Struthio camelus: one gene and its partner. The protein of the gene in region 1 purifies or fractionates together with the protein of each later gene. This does not show direct contact. Links are inferred from orthologs where the notes say so. Each region holds a gene or a part of one and is shown on either strand. Other genes may lie near its edges. The genes, in order: DEPDC5 and MIOS.

Region 1 (15,679 bases):
CGGGGAACTGATCCAGCTGAGAACTAATGCAGTAAAAGGGTTCCCCCCTGCCAAGACAGACCAGTTCTTTGATCTCCAGTTCACTACACAGTGGCGTTAACACTGCTGCCAGCATACTACAAGGAGCAGGAAAGAGACGGAACAAAGTGACTGATTGCCATTGCCACAGAACGCATAACTGGGGCCAAATTGCAGAAGTTAACTAGAGAGGGACTTATACGATACTCTGCCCCCTGTGTCATGGGGCACTTCCTCTCTAGGGAGTTGGCATTTCAACCGCTGAAGTAATTCCTAGTGCTGGCAGTGCGGAAGGGAGAAACTGTATCAATTACTCATTCTCTTGAATTTGTTACCATTCTTTACCTTACAACACAGACAATTCAAACGATTCACACAAATCTGCAAACAAGAGGGAATTACAAGAGGCCTAGCAAGGAAAAAAAGGGAAAAACTTCCTTTCCCCCACTAACCCAAAATCTTACCCGCGTGTCCTCACTGATGTAGCCACAAGTGACTTTCTCACTCTTAACCCACAGTTCACCTGCTTGTGCCCTGAAAGAAAAACAGGGAAGAATATTTACTAACCAGAATGAATATGGAGATTAGAAAAATCAATCTTTGAGCAAATTAGGGATGTGCCAAACTCCGCATTCCAGGATGACTTGGAGATAGTATAAGTGTATTTGAATAAAAACTGATCTTTAATCCAAAAGATGTCAAAGAGCTGTTTTCTGCTGCATCCACATATCTCCTTGACCCTTTGTCATCTCAACAGCAGCCAGAGTAACCCCCTTCTGTATACTATTAAGCTTTAGGAGGGCAAAATACTCTAAGAGGTGAAAGGTAAATTATTTGGCATTCACAGAGGCAATGAGTACGGTCACCTATCCTATCACAGGTTTCTTCTACTTCAGATCAGGTAAAACTCTTCCCTCATCTCACAGTACAGACGGAAGTTTGTAAAAGAGTAAGAGAAGGAAAAAACGTGGAGGATTTTTTAGAGAAGAGTCTCACATTGGATAGTCCGGACTCACAGATCTGAAGTCATAAGTAATAGTAAGCACTCAGAGGAATAGCAGCAGTAGATTGTGTTCCTCACAATATATTATTTCCACTGACAGGTGGAAATGCTAAAAATATACAAGTTTAGAGCATTTCTCTTTATAGTTGTCTGTTAAGTCAGAGATCTCTCTGTTCCTCTGTAATTTTTCTATATCTAGGAACAAATCAGAATAATAAAGCACTCACCTGATACCCGCAAATTCAACTTTTTGGGTGATATAAGCACATGTGCTGACCTAAGAAAGATTAGTTTTAGGTGTTAAAAGAACAGCACACTCAAAGTAGATTGATTTGCAAAAAAAAAACACACTTGAATACCAGACTCCTGCCATAAAAAACACGAGGGCCGCTGACCATAATTGCAAATAACTTCTCAACCTACGAACCTCCAGATGGGACAATGGAAAATAGTCTTGTAACAGACAGGAGCCAAGCTGAACAACAGTAATAAAATAATCATTTGCCTGGGGAACTGGCCACAGAGCAACCACAGACTGCATTTCAGAGATGCAGAAAAAAAGAATTTTGAATAGTTGCTTAGTAAGTGATTTTGTCATAGAACAGCTGCTTTAGTGTGCTTCTGTCTGAAAAACATTTAGATTCAATTCCTTCCAAAGGTAGTAAATTAGTAAAATTCAGAACCGAAGGAAAAAACTCTCAACAGTGATTTCAATGTCCGAGGGACTAATGAACGTTGTTGCCACAGAGTGTGAAATGATAGGACTATAATTCTTTCCGTAACATATCTAATATGCATTTCTCCCACTTTGATGTCCCACTTATGTAGTAAGCGGCTGTGTGCTACTCAGGAGCGGCTGACATTTGTCTCTTCCTCAGTTTTCTGTATTTTGTAAAAAGCTTGTTTTATTTTACAGTGAGCAAGGGAAAAGGTACACAATCTCCTGCACCCTACACAGTAAGGCAAGCAGAGGACGTACCAAACTTTTCTTCAGTCGCCACATATCCCCACGCCCGATGTACTGATCTTTGAAAGTCAGCTCCACCAAGTCCAAGGTCACCTCCTGGGAAATGGAAGAAAGCTTAGCTTCTACTCATTGTTTCCAATGCAGTACCCTTCAATCTGTTCTAGTCAGGACCAAATGTTACTTGCTATTCTAAAGTAAACCAATAATCCTAACAGACACAAGACAAAAAGGAAATCCCATCAGAACAACTGTCAAAGCTGCACGCATACCTGGAACCCATGCGAGCTGCAGGATGTTGAATAACGTGATCAGAAAAAGCCTCATGACTATGTGCTATGAGTCCCAGTGCTGATCAGAACCACAAGTAAAACAAATGATTTCCACTGTTCATGAAACAAAGGAAGCCTAGCTTCCTGTGGATTTTTGTCTCGTATTGAATGCACACTTTGACTGAAGCTCTTCTGATAGTTGGGACATTCACAAAAGATGCCTCTTATAAAGGTTGTCTGGCACCAAAATATGTGAATTCATGCTACGGCTTTTCTTTTGACTGGGCCACTTACATAGTCTCTTGCCTCTGCATGATTATCCTGAGACTTCAGGAATCTAATTATCTTTGAGATTTCTACATCTCTGTCAAGGTATGTTGAAGCTGATCTATGGACTTCGAAAGGAGAGGGGGCAATGGGGACAGAAGAAAAAGACACATGAAAACTAATAGTGCAGTTGCCCAAGGCTCTTTTTCTTACAGAAGACGACTAAAAACCTTTTAACTAAAAACAAAAAAACCCACAACAAAAAAAGCCTTTATTCAACACCACTGTAGACAGAAATCCAAAGGGCTCCAAATTAGCTACATGAAGGGGCAGACAGAAACAAAGTTACAAAGCCACATACCTTTGGGTCAACGACATTCACATGGACATCCTGGTACGGCCGCAGTCGGAATACCTGTGCAACAGTCTGATCCACGCTTATAGTTTCTGCCACAGAAGAAAGGACAGACAACAGAGAAGTGAACATCCCCCCAAAAGTTTCCAGGTGGCTTAAAGTGCCAAATCATTACAGTGAAGTTCTCATGAAACATTTAGGACCTTAGCAAAAGACAACAGCATCTCTCAGCTACTGCTAAATAAAGATTTGTTAAAATCAAAGCAGGGGAGATAAACTTTAGCCTGAAATTATTCCTGCAAGAAGACGACAAACAGTCAGTCAGAGAGAGCAGAAAAAAAATTTAAGGCTAAAAAGCCAATAATTTTGTTTAAATTGCACCTCACATTACCCAGCCAAAAATTGATTTAAAATTGGCTATTCACTTCCTGATAAAATAATAATTGTTCCACTCCTAAACAGACAAAGCATTGATTTTTCTCACCAAGTTAAAATATATGGCATTACTCGATCACTGCTACAGTCCAATCACGTAATCTTTGTCTATGATCTTACTATGCATATTGTAAGTCTAGAGGCTCACCTTTCTGCAAATCTTCCTTAAGTGACTTCACTTGCAGGAGCAGGGGGCTAGGACACAAAAAAGAAAAAAGGCAAAAAAGTTGAAACATAAATCTACTCTGACTAAATCACTCTCTCAAAACAATTTTGCAAAATTGAGCACGCGATCAGCTAAGCATTTGCAATACCACATTAACAAACTTTTATATTAATATTTTCTAAAAACATCACACATCATCCTCTCTGCCTGACACCCCTTCTTGTTCTTTATACCTATTATAACTATAAGGTACCGTTTAGCTAAATGTGATGCTCTAACAGGGAAGATAAGCCACACAAACTTCTCAGATCATCAAACAGCTACACTCCTACTTTTCAGACATAAGCTGCAAAATAAACATTTTCTTTTAAGGAGGTTTACGTTTTTGCAGCCAGATTAGGAAATTTTCGTTTTGCCTAGGAGATACTGTAGAACTGAAGAGCAATCATTAGGTAACAGCAGCTTTATCAAGAAGATAAAGACGATGTATATTTCTCCATATTCAGGTGCTACTTACCCTACAAACAGTCAGCAAACTAGCATCAAACACAAAGAACTCCACAAACTTTAGGGAAAGACCTCTTGCTATAGTTATCCTCTTTACTCTTCTTCAGGAAGAAAAAACGTAACAACCTCCTGAAGCAAAGTTATGAAATCAAGCAACCAGTAGTCCCTCAGTCTAGAGGCTACCGCACACGAACATGCCCTTTCAGTTCCCTAACCACACTTGACTGGTAACAGCACAAAGAGAATTCACCTGTATTCATCATTGGGATGCGCAATTTCCACAACATCGCCCAGCTTGATTTGAAGAAATACTTTAGGATTCACCACCAGTTCATCATCTACAAGACAAAACATAAATGAATGAGGAAACCTGCAATGAACAAATATGTATCGAACACAGACATTTTTTGTACGCACGAACCTGCTCAACATTAATATACTAGTCCCAGATTAACACATTAGCAGCACACTATATTCACTACATGATAGGGCCCCTATTCAGCCACTTCAGTCTGGCCAATCTTGCAGGCAAAAATTTTTCTTTCAAGTCGCAGAACATTCACAGCAGATTTGTTCAACAAAAGAGCCTGCTTTAGTTAGGCAAGCTGAGTCTTTCTTTTTTTTTTTTTTATTATTTCCCATTTAGCGAGCACTGGCAGGAAGGCAGATAGCTAGAGAATCTACTTAGCAAAACTTTGTTAACATGCTATGATTTGGAGCCCAGAAGTAGGGAGCAAACAAATAAACATTGTTCCTAGTACACAGGAACACAAAATCTGACCCTATATGCATCCACATGCAGCAATAACAAGACACCTCTGTCACCCTTATTAAGGGTGGCTGAAATACAAGGTCAGAAGAAGAAAACAGATGAAAAGTGACATAACAAAAGCAGAAGAGGTAGAATAAAGCCATTTTATTTTACAGATGCAATCATAAATTTTGTTCTGCTGTATCTTGCTACTGAAAAGAGCTTTCCACACTTTGGCTGGCAATACTGCTCGTTAAAGTTCTACTCTTCTTGTTGTGTTAAAAAGATCAACAAAGCAGGTCACTGCTTTCAAATAAGGAAGAAAGTGCAGGTCTCACTGTTATGAGCCAGAAGATACTGACCACTGCCTCCAAACCCCTTCTTATGTATGACGAGCTTGTACACCTTGTTGGTTCTCATCTTGAATTCCAGTTCTTCTCTGGAAAGAGAAGGTCCCTCCCACCGTGGGGGGCTCTGTCAGCACCAAGGCGCTTCTCAGTTCAGCTGCTTTGAGTAAAAACAGTCGATGACATCTTGCAGACCTAATATGTAAATGGAAAAACGAACAAAAAACCCCACAGGCCTCCTGTTATTACAAAATTATTCCTTATACTCTGGGAACATGTCTGCTATTATGAAAGAACAACATTTCTGTGAAGAATTATTTTTCAGAGAGTCAGGGATTACGTGAAGGAAGGATGTTCTGTCAGCAGGACTGCCAGGGGAACTCACTTAGGCAAGAACACCACACGTGAAAGGCTGGCATGCCACAGAGGTTAATAAATTTCAGAGTAAAAGTTTAGCAAAGATCCCTCTTCTACCAGCACTCCCATCAAAGGGGTAGCATCACTCTCTAAAACTGGATTTTGTCTACTTCGAGGATGAATTTCTGAATCTAATGTTTTAACGACATAAGATCAATACTCAAACTTATGCCCGCAGCTGAGGGATCATCTCTTTTTGTCACTGCGCTGCACGGTGACTACAAGGGACTCCACCTCGCACACCAGAGGCGGCTGCGGCCAGCAGAGGGCCGGGCGCGCCGGCGCTGCACGCCTATCGCACCGAATACTTCCCCTCCGCGCACCCTCCGCGTTTTTCTTCCTGCTCCCTTTATTTAAAAGAGGGAGACTATCTCTATGGAGGAGCTTTACTTTTGCCATTTACTCTTTTTAGAAGTGTACTAAAACTGAAGATTATCAGCATGGACAGAGGTTCTCTTCCTAACGCTTACAGCCACGTTGTTAAATTGAAATACGAGCTCTTCTAGTTACAACACGCACTTGCGATGACCGTACCCGCTTCCCAAATCACAGCGCGCATCAGAGGAGCAACGGAGGCCTGAAGCAGGTTACGGCACCAAGCTCGCAGATCCCCTTTTGCGGGTGCCCGTTCAAGCAGCGCGCTGAAAAGACCCCGGGGGGGGGGGGGGGAGACGGGACGGACAGACGTTTAAGGCTGGTGAAAGCAAAGCTTTACAAGACCTTCACAATGAGCTCTGCGGCGGGTTTTAAACAAACGCCCATCCGCCGCGCGTCACCCCTGGCGCCGAGGCGGCGGCCGGCGAGCGGAGCGCGCCAGGCCCGAGGCGCAGCGCGGCCCGCGCCCGCCCGGCGGGGCCGCCCTCACCGGGGCCGCTCACCCGCAGCCCCGGGCGGGCAGCAGCGCAGCGCAGCGCAGCCCCACGGCACGGCGGAGCGGAGCGGAGCGGGGGAGGAGCGCAGGGCCCTGACCTCCCGCTCCCGGCGCCGCTCCCGCGTCCCCCGCCGGCGGCCGGGCGCTGCGGCGGCAGCGGCGGCGGCGCCGCGACGCGACGCGACGCGACGCGACGCGACGAGACCCCTCAGGCAGCGCTCGCCGCTTCCGCATCCGGGGCCCGCGAGGCCGCCGCGCGCGCGCGCCCCACGTGACGCCCAGCACAGCGCCGAGCGGGCTTCGGACCTGCGGGCGGGGGGACGCTCAGGGCGCCTGCGCGCGGCCGCGCAGCCCCGACGCGGCTCGCTGGCGGGGCAACGGCAGCCCGCGGTCCGGGGCGGGGCCGCAGCTGCGCCCGCCCGGGCCGGGGCCGGGGCCCGGATGAGGAAGTGATGCGCGCGGTGGAGGGGGCGGGAGGGCGGCGCGGCGCGGGCAGGAGCGGGGCCGGCGGCTGCTGCCCGCTGAGGTAACGGAGCGAGGCGCGGGGCGGCGCGGGGGCCCCTCGGGGGTCGAGGAGGCTCCGCGGCTCGGCCCCACCACCGCCGCCGCCACCGCCGGGGCGCGGGTAGCGGGCGCCGCCGGGGCCTCCCGTGCGCGGGCGGGGGCGGCGGGCCGGGCCGGGCCGGGCTCGGCGCGGCGGGAGCGGGCGGCTGCGCCGTGCCCGGGCTCGGCGGGAGCGGTGCGCGGCGCCGGGAGCGGTGCGCGGCGCGGGGCGGAGGGCGCGGAACAAAGGGGCCTGCGGGAGCGGGGGCCGCCGAGGCGGTGGTCGCCCTCAGAGCTGGCGTTGGTCCGGGAGTGGTCAGCGTTGGGGGAGAGGTGGCGGGTTGCTAGGGGTGTGTGTCTCGCCTGTAGGGCGGTAGCGCCTGGCCAGCGCCCGCCAACCCGCTCCCCGGCTGCTTTGGGGGGCAGAGCAGGGAGAGCAACCCTTGGCTGATAAGCCTGTGTCTTTATAAACCGTGTTTTGCCCGAGTAACCGATGCTTCTGAAAGCGCTTACGCATGTATCTCCGTTAGAGGTTTGTAAACTTCGAAAGTACTGGTATCGCGGTGTTTTCAGAGCAGTGTTTTGAAGCAAGGCTTTAGGAATTGTTGGTCGCGCTCGCAGCGTTTGCGTCAGGTTGGAGTTCGAAGCCACCTCCACGGTGTTGTGGTCACAGTGGTCTGTACTGTCACTGTCACAAGAGGAGGGTACCTACTGAAGAGCTTACCTGAGCTGAAGATGATAGCAATGCTTATGTTGCGTGGAAAATCAGTAATAACGTGATCTCGTCCTTCATCCTTGTTTACGTGAGCCAAACTACAAGGCACAGCGTATGATGATTTGTCTTATAAGGCGTTTTCTTATAGTTAGGAAAGGTAGGAAGAAAAGCTTCTTAAAGATCAGAAGCTTAAGAAAATCACAGGAAAATAAAAGATGCTGTAGCTAGGGAACAGGTTGTCTAACGTACGCCCTAGAGATTCGCTCTGTTGCCTGTTTTCTCCATAAGATAAGGCTGTATCTGTTGGGAGACGTTTGAATGTGAAAATAAGATTTAGGACTATGTTTGTCCACGCTCTCTTCTCTTGTTCTTGAAATATTTGCTTAAATACTCAAGTGCTTTTCGGCTCCCCTTACAAATGTATTTGCAAAAACCCTTCTTGAACACACATGTTTGCATCTGGAAGAATGAAGCTTTTCTTCTAAGGCAGAGATTACTCCCATGTATGTTGATTTAACATTGCGTTTATTTTTAGGATAAACTGTGAAAAGCTTCGGATAACAGGTCTTCAACTGCCCTGATGCTATCATCTGGGGTGGAATCCCTCCTTGATTCTTCCATGTCTGCTGTAGTAGAGGAATTGTACACTGGACTGCCAGTCAGCATCTCCACTGAACTTATGGCTGTATCGGAGCCTAATGTTGGATTAGATGCAAAGTCTGATGTGCCAACAGCTGTGCTAGCATGCAGGGACAGTTTGCCATCTGAGCATCATAGGACTTCTGGAGTAGAAAACTTGTCTCAGAAAACAGAGAATTTGAGTGATATGCCCAAGGGGATTTCTCATGGGCTAGCAGAATCCCTTACTGAAGAATTACTAAAATCGGGAGACCTTGAAGAGGATGAAGAAAACAAAAAAAGAAACTCTAGGAGACTAGACTCTTCTACTGGTGGATACCAGAAAGAAGATAAAGAGGGACAAGATGCTGAGGAGTATCTTGCTGAATGCTGTGCTTTAACTCCTGAGGAAAGTTGGTGGTCAAAACAAGTAAGAGAATAGAAAAATGGATCCCTGCATGATATTTTGAACTTAGGGTTACAGTGACTAGGGAGAAGATTTTGCCCATGTGGTTTCCTGTTTCTTATTTGTGTCTTCTGGCGTATGTGTCATTCTTTTGATTTTCATGGGTTCGGTGAAAGCTATCACTTTCACTTATCACTGGGTAGAGCAACAGTATTTTAAAACATCAGGCTTTTCTTTTCACTTTTGTAAATACCATTGGAACAGTATTGGGCAGGATGTTACAATACAAAGAAAAACTGAGGCAGGTGACCAAAAAGGTAGAGAAAAGAAACATCTAAAAAAGCTTGCCTTGCCCAATTTGCATCTCCTATGGGTACAGCATAATCTACAGATATCATCCCCAGTAAAGGCACGAATCATTAAATAACTATTATTTTAGTCTGGTAGTAGTATTACAGTGCTACAAGGGCTCCAATTTAGGGTTTCAGGGTTTCTTTTTATCTAAAAGTACAGATTCTTCTTCATGCTTAGATTTTTCATTTATAATTAGACAGGAGATTGGTGTCGGTTTCCTTTTTCAAAATAATAAGGCTCAAAATAATAAGGCTCACATGGTCGTTTTCTTTTTCCTCTAGCAAACACTGATGATAAAAATGTTATTTCTGGCAAAGACTTGTTAAATATGAGCAAAGGTAGACTGGCTGTATTAATAGTATACTAATATTATATTGGAAAAATGTGCCAAAGAATAGTCTATTAAAAACTGAAAAATCTCAAAACTTTCTATTAAAAATTGCACATTTTAGAGCAACAAAAAAATTTGAAACACTAAGAAATAAGTGCAGGGGAAGCTTGGTTGAAGGTCAAATTTATAGGGTAAACAGTTGGTTTGCATTTTGTACAGCAGGCGGCATTTCTTTACACTTCTTAGATAAAATACAAATTTTCCTTGTCTCCCTTAATGTTGTTGTTTTGATTACTGGTATCAGAAAATATTTCACTTATGAGTGCCTCAAAAAGTTACAGAACTGTATGTATGATTACTTTGCAGGGAAAGCAGTATATGAAATTTTAGTGACTCTTTGATCAGTTCTGTTTAGTTTGTAAAGATTTGTCACAAAAAGGAGATGGGAGAGAAAAAAGTGTTGTGACCAAACATACATCAGCTAGGTAATATCTGGATAAGATGCATATTTTACAGTTATTACTGGAGGTAAGAGCTAAAATAGTTTGCCTTTGTAACTCTGGAATTTGTTACCTATTTGATTTACTAGTAAATCTGTGAGAACAGAATTCATTAAATTTTCCATAGTTGTTCAGTATTCCAAGATGAGCATTCACATATTTCAAATGTGCAGGAAGTTTGGAGTTTTTTGCTGAGCAGACCAAGGTCACCTCTTCCTGGTTCTTACAGGCCAAGGGAAAGATGGTAAAAGGCAAGTTCTAATAAAAATTGTGAAGAGCATGCTTTTCATCAGAGGTTTTAGCATCTGATAAGATCCCTTATTCCAACTTTGTCACCACCCCTACCTCAACAATTTTGTTTGACTGAGTGACCTAGACTTCCAACTCAAATACCACAGTCAGTCTGGGTTAACCATTCGGTAAGCGCTGGATCTTTAACAACTGTAAAAACTTTTAAATACACATATGAAGAATAAGTATCTAGGCCATTCTGTAACCCTTCCTTTCTGAATGAGTAAGAAGTCTTTGCAGTGAATGAATTTGAAAATACTCTGTCTGGGAGGTGACTTTTCAGTTTCATCCCTGATCTCTCTGTCCACGTAAGAGGAGAAATCAGTTGCTATTCAAAGGTTCACAATTCTACACAATCCAAAGGTGTATTTAAGGAAAATACATTGATAACATACCTTTTCTTGAACTTGTCTTCTAATTCATCTTCAACACTTCTAGAAATATAATAAGAATTCAGGTATCATTCCTGTAGCCCAACTAACCAGAAAACTTAGAAGTTATATTAATAGCAGTGTAAACTCAAACGGCAGAATGGGAAATGCGGTAAGGGAGGTAGGCTTTTGCTTTTTTATTTCCTCTGCATGAGAGGTTTAATTGAGGAGATAGATATACAGGATTTGGGAGGTGAGGTAGACTTGTAGGCTGGAATACTTTTCTGTTTCAAATTTGGGGCGCTTTCTGTTTAATCCACGTAAATCTTAGCTGCTTGCATGGCAAGACTTCACTGCCACTAAATACAGATCTTTTCTGGATGCATCCCTGTCTCATGGTGAGATGCTAGTGATTGATAGGATCAGAAAGAAAAGAGAATGCCCTGTTTGAACTGTTTTCAAGACCAGGCTGCCTGTATTATCAATCTTAAAAACAGGCTTATTTATACAAATTAGTTCTTTTTCCCCCTCCCTCCAAGGGCTGGTATGTTCTGAGGTTTCTTGATAGGTGTTCAGAACTAACCTACTTGAGCAGGCAGAGTTCCTGAAACATGCGAAAAGTTTCAGAAAAATTGATCCGTCTTCACTGGTGTTTCTGTCTTGTTTCAGGAGGAGCTTCACTTAAGTCAGCATGGGGTGAAGTTTTCAAGCATCTATTGCACTGAAATAGCAGGATCTCTGAAGAACAAAGGTGCACATTTTAGTTGTATATCTGTATCTACTCCCTGGTTCTCTCCCAGATCCCCTTTCATTGGTCAAAATTAATGAGTGATTGTTGGATAGCTCATTTTCTTTGTTTTACAGTAGAAACAATTGTCCTGCATAGTTAGAACTACATGAAAAGTTAATTTTCTGCTTTTTCATGACAGTATGTGTACTTTCCCAAAGACCTTTTGCGAACAAAATGTGTTTTAGTTGTTTCACTGGAAGACTTGTTTACCCCTGGGCAGAAGTTCTTGTTGTTGATAGCAGATGTTTTATGCTTCCTCATCTTTCAAAATTGGATTATGTGAGAGCATTTATCATAAAGTGTGAAAAAGTAGGACTCGTGTATTTTCTAATGTTTTAGAAAATGAAAACGCAGCATTCAAAGGGAGAGGGCAGCAATACTAGTTCTTAATTTCGTTATGATCTGTGATCTTCTAGCTCCAAATGCGTTGGTCACTTTATCTGCATCTAGTGATTATTTTCCTTCTGTCTCATGCTCTACTGCACAGTGAGCAAATGATGTACTGACTTTTTTTTTTTTTTTAACTGGGATCAATTATCAACTGTATTTTACCTTCTTATTGCTTAGTTTTTGCAAATTAAGATGGCGAGTTCTCATAGCTTGGTATATTAGATTAGTTTACGTTTTTAGCTCATGTTAGACCTTACTAAGCTTCTTATTCAACAAAGGTAGCGTTTTGAAAATATTTGATCAGTGTACTCATATGATGATTCCAGTGGCACATGATATATGTATTTACTGCTGTTTACTGAAATGAACCATAAAACAAAACCAGAAAAAAACCTCAGCTTTCCACAGTACATCAAGCTTGTACTTACTTGCTTGAAGGCATGCCATCTGGTCTTGATCCTTAGCTGAAAATACAGAAAAGATCTTCTATAGTCTCGATGACTAAAGTTTTGACGATGAAGACATTCTGCTCTAACTCTTCTATTTAATGTTCTGTCATTTTTTACTTAGTAGCTTCTTCATGATTTTACAGAGGTGTTTAGTAATATCCATAATGGCTTGGACAGGGTGAGATCTTCATTGTCTTCCTGTGGATCAGTTATTGACTGGAGTGCGCTCAAGGAAGAAGAGAGAGAAATGGCCGCTCAATTCACAGCTATATTTCTAGGATAGAACAGATAACTCAAAGTACCCAGTTACATTGAGCTTTGATGTTCCAACTAAGCATAATGATCTTAGACAGGACTCTAAATGTAGTGAGCCACAGGACCTGTATTGCACCTTGCCCAATATTACAGGAATCTGAAAAATACAGGGTATGGGATGTGATCATGAGGAATGTCTGTATTGAAAAGTATTGCATTTGTTACCATAAGGTTTTGGTAGTTTGTTTATGGGTTTGGTTTTGGGGGGGAGGAGGGTGTTGGGAGGAGGGAAGAGTGTTCAGTTGGTTGGGGTTTTTTTGAAATTGTGGCATAGTTGCTAGCAACAACTCTCATTTAGTGTTGATTATCAAAACTTTTCTATACACAATGTTCTATATAGTGCTAAAAGGAATGTAGTAAGCTGAATGTGTTCTGAATTTAGAGTATGGTACTGACTTTCTTTACTTTTTGTGTGCAGAAGAAAACCCAGCAAATGTTCAGGTGACAGCTGAAACTCTGCCAAAGCCTGCTGAAGAAGCACAAGGTATGAAGGCTGATGGGACTAGGATATTTAGTAAAGCAGGATACAGGAATGACAGAGTGAGTAATGATCTTCCACCTGAGAGCGATGAGTGCCCAGATGTAGGCACAGTCATGGCCAGTGATGAGGTTTCACAAACCAGCATGTTAGTTTTTTCAGAGCCTTATACAATCAGGAACGTTGAATCGGCCACGGAACATTCACAGGAAATAAATGAATATGATGAGTCAAAAGCCCGTACTGTCATGCCGTTGACAACAGGAGGTAACGTTGTATCTATTTTGGAGACTAGAGAAGAAAAGCTACCCAGAGAGAATCCTGTTGATGAATTCAATACATCACTTGCTATTTGCCAGACCTATCAGCAGGACGAAGAGAACAGTGCTCATGACTTCAGTACTGTTCCTGTACCTAATAATGAACCTGACAGGCTGTCATCAATACAGAGTTCTGGCACACTCTCCACAGAAAATTCTGAAGTTTCATGTTCTGCTCTGAAAGGCACCCGTTACCTGGACTTCAGAAATACGCCGCTAGAAAGCAGCAGTACTGCAGTCTGTGGAATTAACAGTGAAAGCCAGGAAGAGCATCTTCCTGAAAACATGGAAAGTCAAAGTTGTCATGATCATGGAACTGGGTTTCTAGAGAACCGGACCTCCAAATGCATACTGGTAGAACAGCTCTCAGTGTCAAGGAGTGAAGAATTATCTAGGGATAAATCTGATCATAGAGAAGTAAATGATAATGTAGATAATTCATACAGCTCTGAATTTGAAGACGCTACTGAAACCCAGAGAAAAATTGCTATGAGAGATAACATTGAAGACAGCTGGCCTGAAGCTCAAGAAAACGTTAATTCTGAGCATTGTAATTCTTCAGTTTTTAGTTCTGTTGCTTCATCTCCTGAGGACTTCTCAAAAGAAAAATTAAAAAGGGTCCCATCAGAAGTTGGTAAGTGGAAAAAGGACCAATGGCAGTTAGCTGTCAGTGATCTGCGCAAGGATGATACTGCAGAAAATAGTCTATTGATAGAAACAGAAAACATTGTTCCCCCTGAAACTGAGCAGACATATGTATGCTTTTATAATACCTGCAATAAAAACACTACTTCTCCCAGTAACCATGGCTGTCTGGAACTCAGTACCAAGTTAGAGAAAGGTTCACCTGTGTTACAGCTGCTTGAAAAGGAATCTGGGAGTAATAGAACATCAGAAGAGTTGGCTGGCAATTTAGTTGAAGCTACAGAAGCCAATAGTAATGACAGTTTATCCATTGGCAGAGAAACTAATTTGGTTTATGCACTAAATATAAAACTACCTCCCGTTGCACAAAAATCAAGAGTACTTCATGATAATGAACTTACTCCTTGTACTGCTAATGAAGTTTCAAGCAGAGACAAGGCTCAGGATAATCTATCTGGAAAAGAATCAGTTGGTGCTTCTGGAGCAGCGGAGGAACAAGTCACTGAACTTGTGCTTCCAAAAGACAAATTCAAGCCTTCAGTAAATCTTAGGACTTCTGATACCCCTAGTAGGACAAGCAAAGTTTCCCAAAAGAACACAACGTCTTTACAGGGGAATATAGACAGCGCAGTCACTGATTCAGAAAATGAAGAGAGTGACACATGGAATTGTAATGATCAGAGTATAAAAGACCAGTGTACAGCTGCCAGTACTTCCTGTATTTTATCAGAGAATACACGTGTAGATGATGATCTCCCAAACAGTCATTCGTTTAAGGGTGAGGTTGAAATGAAGACTGGAGAAAGTGATAATTTGGAAGGAGAAGATTCAGCTGGATATAATAGTAAAAGAGCAATCATCTTTGCTGAAAAACACTTCCCTTCAGCAGGTAGATCTGTTCCTTCTGAAGGTGATTGGGGTAATGGAAGTGTAGCTCTGCAGGTCATAAATGATACTTCCATAGCAAAAAACGTGTTTTGCTCAGCTTCTACTGCAGAGAAGACCACTACTACCTTGTTAAGAGATGAGATATCAAATAAAAATACAGATTTTGAAAGTCTGAAACAGTTTGATCTTGATAAAGTAACAGATGGCAATGAAATTATTTGTGACAGAGATGAGGCACAAGAACAAATTAGCACATATGCTCTCCAGATAGCTAAATTTGATAAAATAAGAACTGTGGATTTTCCAGATGCTTTCTCTGAAAGCAATCAGAGAAATGAGTCTAGTGAACAGCTGTTAGTCAGATATTCGATCAAAAACCAATGTGTTCATAATTTTGGATTTTGCAACTCTCCATCAGGCCTGAAGAAGAGAGAACTAGACACGTATGAGGAGAAAGAGTCATCACTCACAGCTAATCTCTCTGAGTACAGTGCCTCAATCTGTGATTCAAGTCAGTTATTTGACAACTTGAATATCCAAAGACCACATGCTGGTCAACCAGAAAAGACCATTTATCCAACTGAAAATCAGTTTCTTGCATGTCAAAGTAAGTTAGTTGGACTGGTTCCAGGCAGCAAGCAAAATAAAGTTGAGCTGGCAGATGAAATTTTTGAGACTCAGCCCTTACGAAGCTTAAAAAAACAGTCAAACACTGGTTTACAAACTGTACGTACTTCTACAGAGGAAACTAAAATATCGATTGGCTCTAACCAAGGTGAAGAGATACTATTAAAAAAAGGTGGCAGCCTGGCTCCATTAGTTCATAAATGTGTAAGAGAAGACAGTGTTCAAGGAACCGTAAAGGATAACACAGTGGATTTTGATTCTTTAAATCGTGTGGG
Region 2 (15,781 bases), on another chromosome or scaffold:
CATATATAGCACTTCCAGTATATACATACGTGTGTGTGTGTGTGTGTGTGTATACACACACATTAAAGGATTTTTAACATAACAGAAATTTACTCACCAAAACACCATCATATGAACCTGACTCACTTGTCAGAAAAGCAAACATGGCACACAAGTAGGGATTGTTCAGTTGCAGTCTTAGAGTGCTGCACATTTCTCTCCAAAGTGAGTTCTTCTCATCTGTGTAGCCCGATAGAGCCATTGCTACTACATTAAGGTTCAGATCACCTGATTTATTAAAAACAACCAATGAAATAATATTCGAGTTTAGGACATAACAATCCAATTAAAAACATAATTGAAAGCATCATTTTGAAATAAAATATTTAGTCAAAAATGCAAGAGCAAACGATGTACAATTATCACTAATAATTTAATTATCACTAAAATAAATTTGCATACACTAGCATTTTTTAGTTTCTGCTTTAAATACCTTTGTTCAGGTTAAGCTAACAAATCTCAAAAACACAAGCCCACAAACATGACTACCCGAGTTATGCTTTCAGCAACATCACACTGGTTCTGGTGTTTTTAAAATAGTTTTCAACTGCTACATGTATCCCTACTACTATCAGAAAACACTGTCATTACCATAATTCATATCTACAACAAAAGGTAGGATCGCACATATAGCCATTACTTAATAGAGCTAGCTGGAGAATGACAATTGAATTTCATAACAACTTTAAGTTAATAAATTCCATTCTGTCAGAAAGTTTGTTTGTTTGTTTGTTTGTTTTAATTTAGAGATGACCAGTTTCCAGTCTGGACCTCTGAACCTTTCCTATGTAAAATACACACAGACATACATATATAGATTCCCTCCCCCCCCATTAATTAGTATTTATCAAATATTAAAAGAACCTTAATAACTCCTTTTGTGTTCAGAATCATACCTACCCACGTTAGTGCATATAGTTATTTTTGTTTCAGTATCAAAACAGGCTTTTATAAGAGAACACAGGTGGAAATCAGAATCGCAGACGTAACACTAGCAAGAAAGCAGAACAAAAACACTTCCAACTGCTGGCTCTAAAAACTTTAACTTTTCCCTCATACATTGTAACTCTACCCACATATTACTCCAAAACAAGTGTTTTTTGCAAATCCTGAAAATTTTATTTTAATTATTCCACAGCCACAGCACTGGCAGAAAGCAGCACGCAGCCAAACAGAATCAGATATACATGACATCTAACTAACGTGCACGCCATTAAAAGAAAAAAAAATTCCACTAGTGTAACACCTTTTTGGGGTATGCACCAATAGGAAATTCTAAAACACACAATCTATTTTAATTAGAAAGTAGAGCATACAACAATGCATTTTTAAACTGAGACTAAAGAAAGGAGTGAAAGATCAGTGTTTGTCAAATTGTCGGGCTTCAGCCCAACCACTGCCAAATTCAAGCAGGTATTTAATAAGACTGAAGGTACCTTTTCATACTGCCTTACAGAATTTTGTTTACAGAAAAAAATCTACTAAGATGATAGAGGACTCCAAAATAAAAGATACTAAACAATACACACCTTTTCCTGAGGAAGCACCTTTATTTAGGATTTGTATTGCTCGCCGTATGTCCAAGTTGAAAAGTGCTACAGCAGCAGCGCGCTCCCAATCTCCTTCCTGTTCCAATGAATTTAAAAAAGGTTCCACATCCAAGTCTGTTCCCTTCTTTATCCACCCACAGAGCTGCAAAGCCAAGGATCTCTCCTCACTGAGATACTGAATAATATCTGCCTGTCTATCCGATCCACTCCTGCTATGTCTGAGGTTCTCTGTTGTTCCTAAAAAGGGGAAAAAGACTTGAATCATGACTTAAATAAACATTTAAATTGCAATTGTAACACTTTGATTTCAATAGTAAAGCAGAGTACGAAAGCTGAGTATCATATTTTACTACTTCAAATTAACATTACTAGTAACTCAACGGTAAGGAGCAGCAGCAGCATACATAAGATTTTATTTTGATCTGCTAAAAATCACACCTCTAAACTTGACACACGTTTCCCACCAAGTCTTCTTCTCTAAACTCTAGGATTTTGGATGTTCCTGTTACCAAATTGATACGAGTGATCTGTGCGTTGACTTTGAAAATACAGAATACCCAGTTAAGCATGTGCTCTATCAGTTCTCTTATTCTCAGCAGGCATAAACATGCTAGAAGCTTCCCCAGCACTGAAGAGTTATTTTTTGCTCTAAGGAGCATAAATATTAATAAAGCATGCAATGAACACAGAAGAAGAGATTCAAATAACAGATTAAATTAACAAAAACTTCACTGAGCAAGAGAGGCATAACGTGATGCACAAGGGGCAATTATGACTTCAAAATAAGATAAGCTCCTTAAATAGTTAGATAAATGCATTTATTACATTAGCAGTAACTACAATAAGGACATTTTTCTAGAGCCATACCCTTATGTGGAACTTAGAAAAATATAACAAATTGTTATAGGAGGAACAAGCATTTTCAGTATCACAGTCAAAACACCCCTCTGAAATAGTTCAATTACAGATGTACTTCAAACACGAAGGATACTTTCTTTTTATGACTACTGACTTTCAAAGAACACCCAAAATTCTGGAAATTACTGTAATACAAACTGTCGAGTTATATATATTAAATCATAAACAAAAATTCTTCATTTCTATGTTTTTATATAGCCTCTTTTAATTTTTTTTTTAAATGAACCCACAAGTGCATCCTTGTGTAAATATGCTATAACATATTAAAGTTGGAACATTCTTACCCAAAGATGACTTCACAATTGATTTAATGCCAGCATAAACTAAGGGACCTTTGTTTCCTGTAAGTTTTTGATCCATATCTTCAGTATACTGCTTCATGAGTATTTTCATGTATAGGAAGCTTAATTTTTCCCCAAGCATTTGGAAAACATTTTTTTAAACTAAAAGATCATATGCTATTAACATACACAAAGTATTTACAGGATGTTGCATTATTTAAGACTTTCATGCTTTTCATATCATTGGTTTACATATAAAGGTATGTTACTTCTTCAGAATTAATACCATAAAATAATACAGTGAAATAAAGGATATAATGCAGCGTATACCAAAGCGATTTCAGCTGAGGATCCTCATTTCCAGCTAGGAGGTGATTTCTCCACACTTGTTCAGTGTCAAGACCATATCTTGATAGAGCTCTCAGCCGCATTTTGGTAGCTATGTCTTTTTCCAAGGAACTAGCCTTTCCTTCTTCTGTACATTCATATAAATGTCGCCCACAAGCCCACATTAAAGATGTTACTGGACTCCACGCAAGAGAAATCCTTTCAAAAACTGTGAAGTCGGACATAGTTCTATTGGGAGTCACTACCACCATTCGATTTTGACTTGTGGGATGCCAAGCAAATGAAGCAATGTAGTTTTCACAGGGTTGGACACTTCTTTCAATGATTGTCGGCTCAGTTTCATCTCCAATAGGTGTAGGTGTATGCTGCATGTCATACAATCTAATGATATTACTATCCCTTGTTAAAGTAGCTAACAGTCCAGTTCTTGTTGGACACCATGCTACTTTTGTTAGAGGTTTTGGTTGCTCTGTCAAGGTCAAAACAGGCTTTTCAAACTTCCTCAAATCCCATATGGCAACCTGACCTTCATAGAAAGAAGCTACACGATCATGGAAATATGGATCGACAGTCACTCCCTGAACAGCCTTGGTATTTACAAATATTTTTTGGCTTGTGTTCCTTAGATCAAAGATAGCAAGATTTCGGTGCATGCCAGCTAAAAGAAGCTTCTGATCCCGTGGAAGCCAACAAAGAGAGAGACAAGCATCGTTCTGTCCTAATTCATAAAGCGGCTTTGTTACTACCAGTCCTGCTTCTGGATCTCCTGCTGAAAGTCTCACCTTCTCTGTAGCAACTGCCGTCTCTGGGGCAAATTTGCTACTAATATCCCAGATCAATACTGAAAAGTCAGCCCGGTGTTTATCTAATCCAGCAGCAAGCCAATTACTGTCTAGTGGATTCCACGCTAGAGTATTACATTGTCGTGCATGTTTGGGAACAAACTCTTTGCCGATCAAATCTTTAGATTTTGAGTTGTGATCTTGACCAAGGCTAGTAAGTACCACTCGACCATTGGCCTGTCCAACAGCAAGAAGACATTCAGGATCGTACTTTGGATACCAAGCCACACATTTCATATACGGTGTATCTGAATTTATGGACAATAACGTAGCTGTAGTTTCTTCTGATAACCGCAGGGACCCTGCCTTCAGTTCTGAACTTACAGCAGATTCAATGTGGTAAAGACTTAATTCTGAATCACATACAACAAAACGGTCAACATGGTGTGGGGCCCAAAGAATATCAGGTTTGGAGCCACTCATATTTAGGGTAAGTTTAAACTCTTGTAGGAGGATTCAGGTGATATCCATTCACATAGAAACTGTTGAGAAAGTAATTTTTAGCAATGTTATCAAAAAAACCCTCAAACCCCTTCATAATCAGAGATCATTCTTAAACAAAGAAGAGTAAGGCTCTGAATTACTTTTAGTCTAAGGGCTAAACAAACCTTAAGCGCTCTACACGTTACATCACTTTCCCTACAGCATGCTTTGTTTTTGCTGGACTATACCTCCTGAGAAACCAACATAGCCATCTACAAAACTGACAACAGGGTTCAGTGTGTCTACAAAATCCATGCCAGTATTACATCATTATTATACCAGGAAGAAAGGATCAACTGAAACGTGATGTGGCATGATCCATGAGTGTGCTGCTGGTAAAGAGCCACACCCTAGAACATGTATAAGAAAATTTTTCTGCCTAATTTAAGTGCACTGACAGAAATTAGAGTCTGCCTGTTTTCTCTGAAGCCTAAAAAGGCTTACTCTCTTTGAACATTTGTAGAGGAATACAACTTTCCACTCCTCATCTTATTCTACTGTTCCTAATACTACTTTCTGCACCAACACTACCTTGATTTTGTTGATATGTCGTGGAGAGGCGTTCATAAACTCACGCTTATGCTAACTTGCATTTACATTTTCAGCAGGTGAACGTCCAGACTAATTACATGTGCCTACACACAAAAAAAAGGATCTCATCAATCCCATAACCTTTTAAACTTGGGAGAAATATTTAGCAGACGGGGAAAGTATAAGAAACAAAGCACTACTTCCTTTCCCCAGCCTCCTTTCGGGGTCTGCGGGTTACTCTCCCCGCCCTCGCTCTCCCGCGGCTCCCCAGCCGGACTCCCGAGGGCTCCAGGGCAGCGCAGGCACCCCCCTCCCGGAGCCCGGAGCCCGGCCCGGCCCCGCCTCCCCGGCGCAGCGGCCCACCGAGCGAGGACGCCGCCGGCGAGGCCCGCCGGGACACAGCGGTGGCGGCAACGGAGCGGAGCGCCACCCTCCGCCTCGCCCCGTCCCGCCTCGGGCGCGGCAGCTGCTCACCCACCGCGCGGGGCCTCCGAGAGCGCCGCCGCCGCCGCGCCACCGGCGGGGCTGGGACCGCGGCCCAGTCCGGCCCCACTGGCCCAGCGGCACGAGTGGGAGGCGCACAACGACTTCCGGTTGCGGGGGGCAACGGGGAAGAAAAGCTCGTGCCACTTCCGGGGCGGGCGGGCGAAGGGAACCTCCAGTTTCGGGCTGCGGCGCTGCTGTCTCCTTCCATTGGTCCAGCGGAAGCGCCGCCCCTCGCGTGCCGCGAGGCGGGCGGCGGCGGCGGCGCGGTGGGCGGTGCCGAGGCGGGAGGAGGCGGGGCCGTGCGCGGAGGCGTCGCGGGCGGTGTCTGCGGGGGGCGGGGCGCCTGCGGAAGCGGCGGTTGATGAGTTGTGTGAGGTGGTAGCGGGTCCGGGGGTTGCGCGTGCGGCCCTGAAATGGCGCGGAAACGGCAGGTTTGGGGCAGTTCGCGGTACCCCGGTACAGCGGTGGGTGACAGTGGCGTTGCTGAACGAAGCGGAGGCTCTGAGTTCCCTGCCCCTGAACAGACACCCTCAAAATGCCCAGAGACCGGCCTGTGCAGCGCCCGCAACTGACTTGGTTAAAACTGAAAAGCTTGGGGCGGGGGGGAGGGGTTGTTTTTTTCCAGTGAGGGCACCAGTGAAGACACAAAAATTCTTACGGCTGAGTGGGGGTTGCCCCATGAAGGCAGCATAGCTGGGAAGGAGACCATTTGACACCCACTTCTTTCTTTAATTCGTTGAAATACTCTTATTGCTCAGGGTAACGTTGTTCAATGTCTTTATCATAACTGGAAGGTGTGCGTTGAAAAGTAGGCCAGTGGCAGAGGTGGGAAAAGGGCAACAGTGGCAAGGATACCTAGATTTTACAAGTCAGTAGAATCAGTTAGCAAGTGTGAAACAACTACACGGTCTTATTTACTGAAAAATGCAACGGATGTGAACTGAGATGTCATATATAAAACCAACCAGGAAATTTTATTCAGTTTGTATCCTGCTGTTGCCTGTTTGCCTTGCAAATGGTTCTGCAGAGTCCTTCGAGCACAGAATGGGGATGTGACATAGGCTTCTGGCAACAGGCGTTCTCCCAGCTTCTGCCTTTTCCAGGTGCTTCTCAGTAATGGCAACGTAGCACATACAGACTTACTCACGTGCACATGCAGTAAATCCAGTACTTCTGCAGACATGAAAAGAAAGTTCTCCATGGTTGATAAATAGAGCTTATAAAAAATTCTGTCAAAACTTTTCCACGTGGGAAGGTTGGGGGGTTTTCTAAGTAAAATTTTATTTTGCTATGCTATAATTTTGCTTTCCGTGCAAGTAATTCTGTGACATATTAATGCAACTGAAAATTAAATATTTCTGCTCCAAAGGGTGACACAGTTGAGTTGTGTTTTATATTAGTCCTTGTCTGTAAAGCAGATGCACCACAACTCAAAACTTCTTTTCTGTCGCCAATATGGTAGAGGAGGTGCTGAATATGAGATGTCCAGGCCAGCTAGAGAATCTACTTGTGTGGTCAGAAGATGGAAGATGGCAAGTGACCTAAAATCCCTCTGAAGTACCCACAGTGATGTATCTTTGAAGTTGGAGTTCTTCAGAAAACCAAAACAAGCCCAAAAAGTTTGGACATTTTCTATGTGGAAAAATATTCTCCTGCCAGTACTGTCAGTTTATACTTATGAATACAGGGCTGATACTAGAGGGCTTGCAGATAAAGGCATTTTAAGAGCCAATAACTCTTGATGTCTTCTGGCAGAATATTAGATACACATTTTGAAGAAGAAACAGTTCCTGGAACAGATATCAAATATGTGGTATTATTCTCTACCACTGGAACTCTTTAAATCAACTAAAAGAAATGTTTTATTGTATTTACATATTTTATGGATATAGTGCTGGAATCAGTTGCTGAAATTTTGTCATGTAATACAGGAGGCCCTTTTGCCCTTTCAATGATGCAATCTGCTTCTCTTCTCTGTTTCTTTTTTTCAAACTTAAACAATATAATTATACTCCTTAGCGTACTGGGCACAGGTAGTGTGTAGGGTGCTCCAGAATAGAAAGTATATTCTTTATCTACTGTTGATGATGGTACTTTGAGCCGGCCATCCCTTGTCAAGTATTTTTCAGTGCATCAGCAGGAAAAAGAAGCATCTTATGGCCAAAAAAGACGTAAGTGCCGACAGTGGTTATTGATAAGCAGAGTTTGCATGTATAAATCTGGTAATTGAATTTAAGAAAGCACTGACAATACTTCATAGATTCTGTCCCTTTAATAAATGACTTTTTATTTCACCCATATATGTAAGTTCGGCTAAATGCCTAACCACTAGATTCAATTTTGATTAACAAAACGTGAATACAGTACCAAAAGGATTCATAGGCAAGGTAATCTTCATTATAAGAAGAGAAGCTATTCATTTTCATATTGGTCCTATAAAAACATATTCTCAGGTCACCTTGTCACTTGAAGTTTGGTCTACATTTTGCTGCTTAAATGCATTGAAAGGTAAGAAAATAAATAGTTTAGAGCATTTTTCACAAATGAAATTATCCGAGTACTGAACAAAAACAGCAGAATATATAAATGTATGTGTTGCTCTTATTAATTCTAGTTGTTATATTACTGTTTTGTTTGGTGTATTTTTCCTTTTTATCTTCTCAGAAAAATATTAATAGATTTTCAGCTGCTGAAAAAATACTCAGAACATGTTTAATAAATATGTTTATTATACTGATAATTTATTGTGTAATTCTAATGATGATATTTGAAATTAACTACTCTTAGGCTGTTGGCAGTTTTTGAAATTAGTATATTTGAGAATCTGTATTGAAGAAATTAGTTACCACATTGACTAGTATTTTTTATTTTCCAAACAATTCTATATACCCGGTTACTAAAAGCTCATAAGGTGTGAAGACTTAGAATTTCACATGTGAACCAGTGCCTCTAAAGAAAAAGAGAATGTACACTCAGCATTGTAAACCTGAAAGTAAATCCACATATAAAGTTCAGTTTAGAAATATGGATTGTAAATTCAGTTATTTGTTAGTAACAGTTTTTAAAAAAATATTTTCTGTTTCTGCTAGTAATACTACAGTAATAATGGAGGTATCATCTGCCTATCTTAGAACTGAAAGTTAGATAGTCTTCAGAAAATATAATGAGAAAAACCATGTGTATTCAGCCTGTATTTTCTCTCAAAGAGCTCAATAAATGAGCTACAGCTGAGATTTTACTTGTTGTTGTGATTTCTTGCATGTATTTAATAAGTTGTCACCATTTTGTTTATGTTATTCTTTTGAATCTGCTTCTAGATCCAAAATGTGCTCAATGGAATGCCCAGTTCTGCATATACAGTATGTGCATCTATATATTTGCTTGTTATTATCAAAGTGTGATAGATACTTGCTTTCTTTTAAAAGGAAGAGTAAGTCATCTGATTCTGGATCAGAATCACTATGTAGTTAAAACATTCAGCCTGTTGTTTTATGCTTTTGGCTGTCTTCACGTACCAAATGGTTTATGGACAAACCAGAAAGAGACTACAAAAGCCTAATGGTCTGATACAGAATGATAATTGTCCAGATTAAAACAATTTTATTTGTTTTTTTCAGTAGAATATAATGTGCATATTGCAGTGTGTTCCACTGTTTATTCCTGCATTTATGTAGTTTCAGATGAACATAGATGAAACTTAATCATTATTTTTCACATTGGGAAATTATGACAATGCTCATCATTTTTAGTAAATTAATTTGCTGGGCAACCTATTATGTAAATTTAAGGCTAAGAGAATTTAGGTCCTTGGTATGAGTGGTTTTAATCAAGCATGGATGACTTGTTGTGATAAATTTGTAATGATGTAATTTGGAGCAGAATTTCATCATTATTACTTTTTGCAGAATGAGGTAATTTAATGGGACAAAGGAGGAAGGGACAAAGCTAGAAATGGTCCAGTGAGTTATCTAAATTCTAAGGCACAAGTTTCTGCAATGTTCATTGATGTGTCTCTGCAACTTTTTATTCTATTACAGGTGATATGTATCTCTTGGATACAGTATATATCTTGGACAGTTCAGAAAGTGTAAATAATGGATTGTCTGAAGCACAGAAGAGAATTGTTTACAACTTACATGACAATATTTTTTTGATGAAACAAGTTAAATCTCAGAAGTATAATGTCAAACTGGCAAGTATGCTGTTGAGCAGCACAGTCAGCCTTGATCATCCCTTTACAGCTTGGAAAAATGTGTAGAATTTTAAAGACAAAATCAAGAGTATGAGTTTTATTGGCCATGGCATCTATTCCTATTAGGCAATTTCTAATGCTGCTCAGCTCTTTAAAACTGAAGGTTGTAACCAAAGTGTGAAAGTGGCTTTTTTAATGACTGATGGTGTGGATCCCCTAGACAGTCCAAATGTCCAGGGTATGGTTGCAGCAGCTAGAAGTTTTAGAACACTTTTTTTTTACCATGGGGTTTTCTAAGAAAAGGGACAATGCAGAAAAACTACATTTGATATCTTCTAATTTTCTTTTACCTGTTCTGTGCCTGGATGATCTTCATCTGACGGATGAGATGACAACAAAGTTAGTAAGTAACTAGCAAGGCTACACTTTCTCCTTTTCTAACAGTGACAATTAAAATGTACTTTGGTAGGTAACAAAGCAGGAGTTTGCAGGCTCGTAAATGAGTGGGAGAGGAGATGTTTCCAGTTCAAGGGTCAGGACAAGCAAGCTACACTTGATACACAGTAATTCTCACACTGGGTCAGTTCTACATTTCTTATTCCTTCAGTCCGTGGTAGTTTGTATTGCTAACAGAAACATACAGCGGTAAGATAGCTGTTTGCATTTTTAAAGAACTAGATTTGCAGGGTGTGTTGAAAGTGAATTATTTTTCTGTAGGTGCGCAAGGCCAAACTTCAGATGTTTTAAATTTCTGCGTAATTCTGGAAGTCTGTGAACTTTCCTAGGCAAAGGAAACATTACTGTGTGCTGCGACCACTCATCACTGCTGCCTCTCAGCATATGCAAAATTCTCCAAGTGCTTAGCGTCAAAAGACTTGATACAGACAGATCTTGCAACGGATCCCCGTTTAACAGACTGAAGATACCCACAGTTAGTTTGTCCCTATTCTGAACATACCTAGCTCTGTGAAAGCACAGCTAGCAGTGGGTACTACTATTGTGCCCAAGAGTCTAGTGGAAAGTGCACTGGTGTCCAGATTTCATATGTTGGTGAGCTACTTTGCTTCTGAAAGGGGCTTTAGAGGGGTGTTATGCCATGGCTCCTTCCGTATCTGGTGACTGGAACTCCTGCTGTGTGCAGTACGGTTGATCTGAAGAAGTGCCATGTGTCTTGACATGTCTCACAAGTACAATATTGATTGTGTATGCATTACATTCCTATTTCTCACAGACCATCCAAAACAACATGATGAGAAACAGTTATCAGCTCTGCAACAACTTTTGCAACCTGGTTGCATGTGCCCTGCTTGCCACGTTTTGTGAAGGCGCTCTCAAGGAGTGATTGTGGGCTTTAGTGATGTTTTGCTGAGCTGAAGCATTGGCAGCCCACTTCTTACTACCATCTTTCCCAAGGAATCTGTGATCCAGCCCCTGGCCCATGATAAATGACTCATAGTCCACTTGGCAGCAATTGCATTAAAAGAAAACAAAGGCTATATTAGAACTTAAGGTAAAAAGTTCAGGTACAAGGATTGGAAACATGGGAAGAATAGAGTAGTAGAGCTCATAATAGAAACACAGCAAATATAAACAGGTTGTTGCCACCAGAACAGTTCGTCTGTCCTGCAGCCTTCCTCAGCTATGAGGGAATTTGGAAAAGACGGCACTGTGAAGTTGGCCACAGACTGAATGAATTGTTCTGGTGGTCACTGCGCTGTAGATCAAACATTCTTTGCCTGGCATATTTATTAAGATAACAGTAATGTGGGTTTCTACTCTTACTTTTCCTGATTCCCAAGTGAATGCTGTAGGTACTGGGCTATAGAGCTTTCTTGGGTCAACTGGTACTTTATTATTTACACAGGATAGAACAGCATCATAGGAGCTGCTCAGGAATCCTCACCCTGGTATATCTAATTCTTAAGCATATTCATCTCAGATCTGGGAAACCTGAGTTCAGTAAAAAGAAGGATTTTCTTCTAAGCACTAAGCTATTTTAACAGGAAGAAGAGGAGACACTCTTTTTTTTTTTTTTTTTAATTTGTGAGGAAGGACTGATGAGACTTACCCGTCTAAAAAAGACATCATGATTAATGATTCTACGTGGAGGCATTCAACTAACTCTTTTTGTAATGTAAGTCTTAAGCTACGTTTCCCCTCAACTTATTTTAGTCGGCTAAGTGATTTCTTGCTCACTGTGTAGTCTTTTAGCAGTCCTATTCTTAAGGCTGTATTATGTTCGTAATCTAAACAGTGACAGGGAAGTCCCAGGCATGAAAAACTCAGTTATTTATGCAGTTAAATTGCTAGAATGATCCTTGTCATGGTTTTGGCCCAAACCAACTTGTAATTTTACAAACAACTCCTAGGCATTGTTCAAAAGTCAGCACAACACAATGACCAGTTTCTGTTTTCATGCAGCCACTCTTATGAAGGCTAAGAAAGCTTAACGGTATGATCACGGGCTCTTTCTTGACAGATGGCCACAGCAGGGCTTGATAATGGCTGTGGGCACGTATAATTTACCAGTATGGATGTGACCTAATGTTACCTTTTAGTCTGTAGGGACCCTGGGTGCCTAATATATATTTAGTTTCCTAACACGATTCTTACTTACTTCTTCATATTGACAGTATTACAGGGTTAGATGGAATGGTTCAGCTGGGGAAAAAAAGAAAAAAAAAGATTTAATGTCTGTGCTCGGGCAACCAACATCTGGAGCAAAGCACTGTTCTCCGTCATTCCCTGGTACAAATATATGGGCATAGCTGTCTGTATCCTGATTATGACCACAGTTATTCCGTGAGTTGTGTGACTGTAAAGAGATTCTCCAGGCTGTGAGATGAGTCCCTGCTGCCCGACATCACAGGAGTGCTTGTCTGTGCCCCCGAGAAGAAACTGCAGCTAGCAAAGCAAGCTCCCACCAAGACTCTGCTGACGAGGAGTATTCCCAGCCAGTTCCTCCAGTGAGCTCCCTGGGCAGATCTGTGGGAATATGTTGCTTCACAGTGGCCCTCTACTTCTGTGGAAACCATATGAATATGCCATATGAAACCATATGATGAGTTGTTATTTCCCTCAGTGTTTGATGGGCATTATACCAAAGGGAAGTAAAAGCTTTATGAGTCCTAAGATAAAATATGAGCATTTTATGGCAAAGATAGGAAATACACATTACAACAAAAATAAAGCATAAAACATTTTGCATATATTAAACAGCAGTATACTTTATTGTTACTTATTTATTTATATGCCCTATCTTGGAGACCTTCGACCCAACTTTTATGAGGCAATATTTTCTTCTCTCCTTCTTAATTTTCCAATATACAATCAGAAGTTATTAATTTCAAATAGTCTGGAAATTTGATGCTTTTGATGGGGCTTTCCAAAAAGGCACCGAATGGGAATCCCATTTTTTTTCTGGTTCTCTTGTCACTCTTACACCAGCATCACACACAGCTTTAAGTTTTTCCAAAACATCAGTTTACTTTTTTAAGTTAAGTTTTGAGAATGACTTCAACAAGCCCACTGATGCTGTCTTTTTTTCTTTCTTCTGTATTAAATGTTGCAGCCTGCAGAAACTGTCTATGTGGCTTTTTTGTTTCTGTTTTATGGCACTAAGGCGTATCCTGTGCTTCCTCTCACTGTGGGAAGCGAAGTCCATCTGAGAAACAAAGTCCTCTCCCTTGTTCATAGAGATATTAATTTTAGTCACATTTTCTAAGTTGCTAGATGATCTGCGTTTCACAAATATAGCAAAAATGATGCAATCAGGATCTCGCAACCCATTTTCAGATTTCATTTGGAGTAAGAGCTACAAACTTTGCCATCTTCAGTCATGCCATGAGTTTACTAACCTCGTGTTTGCTAGCATCTCACAGGAGGCAGGCCATCAGTCATACTTCTGTCAACAGCCGTGTTGGCAATGATCAGGTGGCTAGGTTTAAGGTCATTTTGATTTTTCCAGTCTGTGAACATTTTTTTGTCTTCACTCTTGACTAGTGTTGTTAGGTACTGTGTCAATCCACAAATTATCTTGAGCCTAGCATATGTTACGTGACTGCACATGTCACTGCAGTCTTTGATGCACTGACGATGCTTGACTTATGCATTCTTCTTACAGGATTACCACTCTCAGGGAAGACTCACAAAGATACTGATGATAATTGTGCTCGTTTAGTCTTCCTTTTTACATACATGCCGTATGGCACATGTAACAAGCACCTTTCATTGTCATCCTGTCACTGCTAGGTCAGGCTTAACTACTTCCATTTTAACTCTTCAGTCTTGTTTGCTGATTTTCAGAATCTTTTAAAGGAATAAAGTAAAGGTATAAGGTATGTCAAAATCTGTTCTCTCACTGTTCTAGACAATTAACTCCCTACTAAGAAGGCATGGATCAGAGGATCTTCATAATTTAAGAAATCTTAAAATAGATATCTGAGACTATTATTAACCTTTTAGGAAATGGTATATGTAGGGCATTGATATAGGAACATATGGACCTTTTCAGCTACTGATAGGGAGAAATATGAAAGACTGAAAAACTAGAAATCTGATATTTCTTGCATATATTGTAAGATAATTCAGTTTACAGTTATAAAAGTATAAATTTGGAGTAACTCCACTGAAATAGTAAAATGTGTTGTTACAAACATTTCTAGTTTGCTCTGTTAGGTCTGGTTGTGGACTGACTTACCAGGTCTTTTACCCAGCTATCTCCTGCTCCAATGGAAAAAAGTTCCCTGAAATATGGTTCCTTTGTGCATTGCAGTAATGCAAGGGGCTACAAAGAGCTGTGCAGCTGTACAGCAGTAGCTTAGCTTCATTTAGAATTTCTTAATGAGACAATCAGAGCATCTCTAAAAGCTGCAGATTAGATATTTATGAAGATGGTGTATGCTGCTCATGCAGAAAGGATAGCAGTGAGCATTTTTAGAAACAAAAGGAACTCTTGATGCTTTCTCTCTACAAGTCTTAACAGTATCTCTCTCATTCCCTTTCCTAAATCTTTCCCTGTGTTAATTTGTGTATATTGTTCAGTGTGATACTTCAATGTTTTATTTTCAGTTTACAGTGTGTTCATAAAAGGATATAGTGTGCCATGCTTTCTCATCTTAGTGAGTCTTATATGTGCAACATTACTGAGTAACTATTAATTATTGTAAAAACGATGTAAAGATCAGTGCTTTTCACTTTATTTGCCCTTTACCTTGAAAATACTGTAACCTGTGAAAGCAATCTGGTTAAAAAAAAGATTTATCACTTCTAATATCAAGCCCATATATTTTCTTCCTTTTCCTTTTCAGGAAGACTTACTACACAGGTGACTTTTATAAATTGTGACTGCTATCAGATATCGGCATGACAAATTACCCTATCAGGGTCATTCAGCTGTATCAGAAGCCTACCTTTTGCTTTCTCTTACCTGAAAGAATTTTTTACATTGCTGTCAACATGCAGATACCTTTTGATACTGTTGCTAATCCACATCTTCCTACCTGGGTAGTTCCTCCTGCTTCAGTGTGTTCATTCATGTCATTTGGACCACCTGAGAAATAAAATGCTACTCACGGGCAGGAAAGGGTGACTGAAACCTGCCCAAATCTGTCCCAAGCATTTCTGTAGGATCATTGTTTGTTTTAACTAGTAAGAATGAATACATTTGGCTGCACAGTAAAAGCCTTTTCTTTCCAAAGTGGAATAGAACTAGTATTCTAACTATATCCTTTTTTGCCTTATTAGAATTCAGCATTTTATTTAGTTCAAAAGGAAGAGGTAGATAATCTTTGACTGTTCAAAATGCTTGTTTTATTCATAGAGTGTGACAGAGTTTGACGCTAGTTACAGAATTTGGGCTTGTTTTAATGGAGATTTTGCTGTATAGAATTGTGTTTAGTACACAGAAGATTAATTTTGTAAGATCATTTGTTGACTGCGTTAGTAAGGTGCTTCATTTAATCTATGTACTAGAAAAAGTATTTTTAAAGATGCTTCAGAATGCTCCAAACGTTTCTGTTAACTCTTCAGTGTGAACTGAAGCCCTGCGTGTGTGAGAAGGGAAGTCCTGGACTACCAGGCCCTCCTGTGAGTATATCTTTATTTGGAAAC

Evidence for each region.
Region 2: the proteins of DEPDC5 (region 1) and MIOS purify together in Homo sapiens (affinity purification with western blotting; 3 studies listed by BioGRID and IntAct, with this or other methods). This does not show direct contact. The link is inferred for Struthio camelus from reciprocal best matches to the Homo sapiens genes DEPDC5 and MIOS.

Annotation. Positions count from the first base shown.
Region 1 is NC_090958.1:8,396,716-8,412,394, reverse strand, and holds the start of DEPDC5 (GATOR1 complex protein DEPDC5), read right to left. Parts: upstream 6,169-15,679; 5' UTR 6,037-6,168; intron 5,281-6,036; 5' UTR 5,159-5,280; coding exon 5,101-5,158; intron 4,326-5,100; coding exon 4,238-4,325; intron 3,510-4,237; coding exon 3,463-3,509; intron 2,972-3,462; coding exon 2,886-2,971; intron 2,085-2,885; coding exon 2,001-2,084; intron 1,299-2,000; coding exon 1,249-1,298; intron 553-1,248; coding exon 483-552; intron 1-482. Other genes in the region: protein PRR14L, read left to right, coding at 8,212-8,679, 11,172-11,253, 12,865-15,679. UniProt on the Homo sapiens protein: As a component of the GATOR1 complex functions as an inhibitor of the amino acid-sensing branch of the mTORC1 pathway.
Region 2 is NC_090943.1:29,890,017-29,905,797, reverse strand, and holds the start of MIOS (GATOR2 complex protein MIOS), read right to left. Parts: upstream 5,721-15,781; 5' UTR 5,467-5,720; exon of another isoform or gene 5,356-5,466; intron 5,097-5,355; exon of another isoform or gene 4,993-5,096; intron 4,461-4,992; 5' UTR 4,402-4,460; coding exon 3,105-4,401; intron 2,891-3,104; coding exon 2,792-2,890; intron 1,827-2,791; coding exon 1,569-1,826; intron 268-1,568; coding exon 98-267; intron 1-97. UniProt on the Homo sapiens protein: As a component of the GATOR2 complex, functions as an activator of the amino acid-sensing branch of the mTORC1 signaling pathway. The GATOR2 complex indirectly activates mTORC1 through the inhibition of the GATOR1 subcomplex.